2 linked regions of the Macaca mulatta genome follow. The protein of the gene in region 1 purifies or fractionates together with the protein of each later gene. This does not show direct contact. Links are inferred from orthologs where the notes say so. Each region holds a gene or a part of one and is shown on either strand. Other genes may lie near its edges.

What was found. Proteins that work in one complex are often made in the same cells at the same time.
Region 2: the proteins of MRM2 (region 1) and KBTBD7 purify together in Homo sapiens (co-immunoprecipitation; 3 studies listed by BioGRID and IntAct, counting the BioPlex papers as one, with this or other methods). This does not show direct contact. The link is inferred for Macaca mulatta from reciprocal best matches to the Homo sapiens genes MRM2 and KBTBD7.

Annotation. Positions count from the first base shown.
Region 1 is NC_133408.1:36,203,547-36,206,100, reverse strand, and holds the end of MRM2 (rRNA methyltransferase 2, mitochondrial), read left to right. Parts: intron 1-1,552; coding exon 1,553-1,995; 3' UTR 1,996-2,054; downstream 2,055-2,554. UniProt on the Homo sapiens protein: S-adenosyl-L-methionine-dependent 2'-O-ribose methyltransferase that catalyzes the formation of 2'-O-methyluridine at position 1369 (Um1369) in the 16S mitochondrial large subunit ribosomal RNA (mtLSU rRNA), a universally conserved modification in the peptidyl transferase domain of the mtLSU rRNA.
Region 2 is NC_133422.1:20,614,150-20,618,248, forward strand, and holds the start of KBTBD7 (kelch repeat and BTB domain-containing protein 7), read right to left. Parts: upstream 2,801-4,099; 5' UTR 2,492-2,800; coding exon 434-2,491; 3' UTR 1-433. UniProt on the Homo sapiens protein: As part of the CUL3(KBTBD6/7) E3 ubiquitin ligase complex functions as a substrate adapter for the RAC1 guanine exchange factor (GEF) TIAM1, mediating its 'Lys-48' ubiquitination and proteasomal degradation.

The sequences.
Region 1 (2,554 bases):
CTTAACAGAAAGGCTGTTCCAACGGTAGGGGGCGAGGAAGAGACCATGTTTCATTCCTAGTTTAAACATTGGAAGTCCAGGTATTTTGAAGATTACCTCATTTTTCAAAGGTAAAACCCCTCAATCTTCAGCCCAGGAAAATGGGACGCCTCACGCCTCATTTTTTTTTTTTTTTTTTTTTGAGACGGAGTCTCGCTCTGTCGCCCAGGCTGGAGTGCAGTGGCTAGATCTCAGCTCACTGCAAGCTCCGCCTCCCGGGTTCACGCCATTCTGCTGCCTCAGCCTCTTCTGAGCTGGGACTACAGGCGCCCGCCACCTCGCCCGGCTAGTTTTTTGTATTTTTTAGTAGAGATGGGGTTTCATCGTGTTAGCCAGGATGGTCTTGATCTCCTGACCTTGTGATCCGCCCGCCTCGGCCTCCCAAAGTGCTGGGATTACAGGCTTGAGCCACTGCGCCCAGCCTCATGCCTCATTTTAGCTGGGTGTCCTGAGTAGCTGAGACTACAGCTAATTTTTATATTTTTTTGTAGAGATAGGATCTTGCTATGTTGCCCAGGCTGGACTAGAACTCCTGGGCTCTAGCAGTTCTTCTCAGCCTCCCAAAGTGCTGAGATTTTAGGTGTGAGCCACCGCACCTAGCTGGTATCAGTTTTTGTACATTATTTTGTATGTGTTCATTTTCCTCATCTCTTGACTTATTTCCAGTAGTTTCTACATTGGAAGCAATTGGATTAAGGTGGAGAAGGAGAATGGATTTATTGATTTAATCCAGAGGCACTTTATGCACTAGTATATTATTTTCTTTTTCTTTTTCTTTTTTTTTTTGAGATGGAGTCTCGCTCTGTCGCTGAGGCTGGAGTGTAGTGCTCTTGAGATGAAGCAAGAGCATGCCTTGTAGGAGAAGGTGACAGAAGGAGAGAGCGTGAACGTGATCTTGGCTCACTGCAACCTCCGCTTCCTGGGTTCAAGAGATTCTCCTGTCTCAGCCTCCCGACTAGCTGGGATTACAGGCATGTGCCACCACACCTGCCTGAGTTTTGTAGTTTTAGTGGAGACAGCATTTCCCCATGTTGGCCAGGCTGGTCTCGAACTCCTGACCTCAGGTGATCCATCTGTGTCAGCCTCCCAGAGTGCTGGGATTATAGTTGTGAGCCACTGCGACCGGCCTATTTTCTATTTTAGTTTATCAAAAGAGCACTCAGAGATAAGAACCCTTTCACAGAGAGTGAGCCTTGGGTAGTGAAATGATACCAGATTTGGAATCAGAAGTCCTGGCGCTTGGCACAGGTCTGCCCATGGCTGAGGATGACTGTAGGACAGTTACTTCCTGTATGGGCCTCAGCTTCTCAGATGTTAAGGCCCACGACCTCCCCCACCACGTGTCTTTATAGGATGTATAGATAGAAAAGGCCTGTGTTTACCTATTTGCACATTAGCTCTTTGCATTGGTCTTGACATTTTACTTTTATTTCATCATTTTGTTGCATGTACTATATTTTTGTGAAAACATTCAGGGTGTAAATAAATAACACATTCACCATTTCTTCCATAGATCCCAGCTCTCCTGTTGGCTTCGTGCTTGGGGTAGATCTTCTTCACATATTCCCCCTGGAAGGAGCAACTTTTCTGTGCCCTGCTGATGTGACTGACCCGAGAACCTCACAGAGAATCCTCGAGGTGCTTCCTGGTGGGAGAGCAGATGTGATTCTGAGCGACATGGCGCCCAATGCCACAGGGTTCCGGGACCTCGATCATGACAGGCTCATCAGCCTGTGCCTGACCCTTCTCAGCATGACCCCAGACATCCTGCAACCTCGGGGAACATTCCTTTGTAAAACCTGGGCTGGAAGTCAAAGCCATCGGTTACAGAGGAGACTGACAGAGGAATTCCAGAATGTAAGGATCATCAAACCTGAAGCCAGCAGAAAAGAGTCATCAGAAGTGTACTTCTTGGCCACACAGTACCAGGGAAGGAAGGGCGCTGTGAAGCAGTGAGGATTTCTTGTGCCATTTTCATAATGGTCATTAGCTTCTTTTAAGCTCGAAACGTAGCCTGAGCTCCTTCCGGAAGAGTTCCTGGGAGATCTGAGCTGATTTTGGAGATGGAACAGGACAAGTGGGGAGTCTCTTTCTTTTTTTTTTTTTTGAGACGGAGTCTCGCTCTGTCTCCCAGGCTGGAGTGCAGTGGCGCGATCTCCACTCACTGCAAGCTCCGCCTCCCAGGTTCACGCCATTCTCCTGCCTCAGCCTCCCGTGTGGCTGGGACTACAGGCGCCTGCCACCGCGCCCGGCTAATTTTTGTATTTTTAGTATTTGGGGTTTCACCGTGTTAGTCAGGATGGTCTTGATCTCCTGACCTCGTGATCCGCCCATCTCGGCCTCCCAAAGTGCTGGGATTACAGGCGTGAGCCAGCGCGCCCGGCTGGGAGTCTCTTTCTTTCTCTCTCTCTTTTTAACCAAAAAGAGATGACAAAACTAAGTTCAGGGGCCATGGAAAATGAAAAAGTCCTCTATATTGATTTGTGAAGAGAAAGTTATCAAGAGAAAGAGGTGA
Region 2 (4,099 bases), on another chromosome or scaffold:
ATCCTTCAAAACTCCACCAACAATTCCTAGTCCAGTTTTCTATTGTACAGATTAAAAAGTTAAATTCCTTGTGGCACTAACCAAAACTTAAAAATTAACAGAAGACTGAATTAATTAAAAAAAAAAAAGCATACTAACTAATCAAAACAATCCACTGTGCAATGAATATTTGAACAATGAAAAAAACCTACCAAGCATCCCAGTCAATTACATAGTTCTTGCTTCCATATTTTAATTTTGGACTTTCAGGAAGGTATATTATTAAACAGGTCGATTTTGTGGACTGTTTAAACCTTGTAGTATTTCAAAATATTACCCTTTCTAAACCAAATCTGTGGTCCTGGTCAACTTTTTTTTTTTCAAGAAAAAGAAAGGATATGTGTTTAAAATACATTCCGTAGCAGTAGAAACATCTTAGTGTCTCAAAATCTATTTACAAAGAACCCTGCTGATCCTGTGCATTTCGCTGAGGTGCTACTTGCACCCAGACTTCATCATCTGAAAAAGAACTTGAACTTCCTGACTCAGAGTCCAGCTCACTGAATCCATCTAAGTCCCATTCAGTACTAGACTCACTCCGTGCATCATCTTCCTCAGTAATAAAACTCTGACCAGGTTCAAGGCAGGAAGGATAAACACGGGCACAAAGGCAAATAAAGCCAGAGTCAAACTGCAAAAGGCCTAACATAGTACCTATATTAATCCACTGATCTTCCCTAGTATCATACTCATACACTGTTACTCGGTTCTTTTTCCATTGTGGGGTTGTAGAAGTGATGAGAAGCAACTTTCGGTCATGATTGACAATCTGGTAGTTGTGGGTCTCTGAATCCAAAGGAATATTACTAATCCGCCTCCATTCTCCCCTAGCTGGGTTGTAGACCTTCATGACTGGGATGTCACAGATACAATAGATTTCATCATTGAAAACACATGCTTCCTGAAAGTCACTGCGTTTAAGAGAAGCACAGTTCAGCCACATATTGTGGCTAGGATCATAGCAGAGCATGCGCTTACTGTTGACAGCATAAAGATAGTTCTGAACCACTATGAGTTCAAAGGAATAGAAGGAATGAGGGACAGGAGCCACCAATGCCCACTGGTTTCTCTGAACACTGTAGCATTCCACTTCCTTCAACTTAACTCCAGTAATAGGGTCTCGCCCCCCCAAAATGTAGATGTAGCCATTGAGATATGCCACATCCATGCCCTCACGACACAGCAAGCGATCTGCAAGTTGCTGCCAACTATTCTGAGCTGGTTTATACACCCAGAGGTCTTTCCTTGGCTGGGCAGCTAGATAGATGTCATGGTCTGGGGAGACACAGACAGCTGAGGAGGTAACAGTCTTAGTGTGAGCAAAGCTGGTCAAAGGTGATGGCATTGTGTAAATGTCCCCTGAGTAAGGGTCATAGCAGAGAAAGGGATCTCTGGGGTGTCCAAAGAAGATCACCATCTCCTTGGCACACATACCCAGTCTCTGGGGTGGATTTTCTGCTGCAGATACAAGAGAGTTGCTGCTGCTACTGCTGCTGCTGCTGCTGTTTGGCACTGGCACCAGAGACTTGTACAACAGGTCACCATAGCGCATCTGCAGGGCCCCTTCAATAACGTCCAGGCAGTACTTCTTCACAATGGGCTTGGTCAGCAGCCCTTCTAAGTAGTCCTGATCTTCTTCAGTGAAGTGCATCCAGCGCACGCACTTGAAGACTTCCGCAGCACTGGGACCCCGCTCCTTGGGAGCAGCCTCCAGCCACTGCACAGCTACATGGCATACAGTCCGCTCACTCTCTATGTCCAGACTATCCAAGCGCAGGACAGCCAGCAGCTGGGCCAGGGTCAGATCTGCTAGAGTCTCTTCCCGAATTGAACCCATTCGGCTGAGCTGCTTGAAGTTCTGAGCTATATAGGACTGGGCCTGAGATCGAAGCTTGTGATGGTCGAAGGCGTCTGCAAACTTGAGGATGGCGGTGCAGTTGGTCAGGTCAAGACGTCGGGCTAAGAAGGAGGCACAGGCTTCCCGCACATACTCCAGTTGCAGCATGTCGGAGGCTGCGTACAGGCGCTGCACATTGGCCTCGCTGAGAGACACACGACCCGTGTAGCAGTAGTCGACCAACACCTCGAAGGACTCGGCGTCCACATCGTGCATGGTCACGCTGGCCTGCTGGCTCTCGTACATGCCACCTGTGAACATGCTCTTGAAGTAGGGACACGCAGCTGCTAGCACGTTGCGATTGCAGGAAAAGAGGCGACCCGTGCCAGGCCCGCTGCCAGGCGTCACCACCTCGATGGTCACATCACACAGCAGCCGCGCGTCGTAGAAAGACTTGAGCTGTGCCAGCAGGGCTGCAGAATGGGCCGTGTCCTTTAATTCCTCTGGACCCGTGAAAAAGGCCGAAACCGAGGGCTTGGAAATCCTCTTGGGCCGCCTCCCACCGCGGGGGCTGGCGAGGCGGCGAGAGCGCGGGGCGTCTTCCCGGGACTGCATGGTGGAGATGGCGACGGGCGCTGATAGCGAGAAAGGCTGCCGGACCCGGCTCTGGCTCCTCCTCAACCTTCCCTCGCAGACGCTAAGACAAGCCGCGTCCTGGAACAGACTGCGGCACGGGCCGCACTTCTGAATTCAGCCCTAGCCCGCGGTGAGGCCTCCCTTTATTGCGTAGACAGTGGCTGACTCACCCTCTCTCACTCCCGCGCCCTTTCTCCGCCTCCGCTCGCCCTCACAGGACCCGCTGGCTTGGAGCCGCGGAAGGCCCCACTGCCGCGCTGGCGATCCCGCTAGGCGCCCAGGAGAACTACCGCTTCCAGGTTGCCTTTCGCGCCCCGAGGCCTGCTGGGGCTCTCGGACGGCCGGGCGGGGACAGAGGGAAAGAAACCGCTTTGCATGTTGGGAGTAGTAGTTTGTGTAATATCGCGAGCTTTCCTTTCGCTGACTGCCCTAACAGTAGAAATTAATTCTGGATATGATGGTGAAGTGACGATGTCTCACTATTGTTGTCCAGGCTGGTCTTGAACTCCTGAGGGCTCAAATTATCCTCCTGCCTCTGCCTCTCAAAGTGCTGGGATTACAGGCGTGAGCCACCGGGCCCTGCCAGTATTTCATAGGGTTTTGTGTGATTGAATGATACGTTACATAGGATACTTAGATACATATATTTTTTTGGTTAGAAGAACAATAAAGCGTTACCCCGTGCCTAGAATGTAGCCAATAATTGTTAGATTCTCTTTTATAATTTATGATAAATGAGGCACCCACTAATTTGAAACCAAAAAATTTTTAAAATTTTAAAAATTATTTTAAACCGCAAAATTTTACAAAGAACTTAGTTTTTAATTTTTATTCTTTTGAAAGATTTTGAAGGGCATTAACTATTTTCAATGTTAAATGGTACGTATTGGCCTTGTTTAATAAGGATGTCTTAGACGACTAGGTTGAGGTCCTAAAGAACGGTGTTAATAGATGGCCTCAAATATGCAAATCGGGCATATAAAAATAGATTATTTGCTACTCTCACTAACATTTCATCTCTGGGGAGCAGGAATATTTTCATTAAGCTCCAAATATGAGTGTTTTCAAGTCGTCTAATACAGCCTCTTTCACTGCCATTCCACATATCAATTAACAGATTCTGTAATTGCCTTTATTAAGGAGTTTTAGGGAGTATTTAACTCAAAATATTTCAAGAAACAGACTTTGTTCTGTACAAAAGCACGTGATTCTCAGAATTCAGCATTAGTACATGCCCTGACATTCCTTGAATTAACATACAGTATAGCCTATGCTTTACAAAAGTCTTTTATATTTGCATTGATCAACAGTTAAATCATCAAAATCAAGTATTAGAGATTTGAGGCAGGAAAATAGGGTCTGGAGGCAGGGAACATAAGGCCGATTCACACTTTAGCTATAACAAGAAATATCCTCTCCATAGGGTGTATGCCGAGTAAATGAGTTTGTAACTTTAATTCATTCTCTTCGTTTACATAGGGTATACACCAAGTAACCAGTGAATCCTCTAGAGGGTATTTAAACCTCCAGGAATTCTGTAACAGGGCCCTTGAGCCCTGTGCTGGGCCTGCGCCCACACTGGAGTGT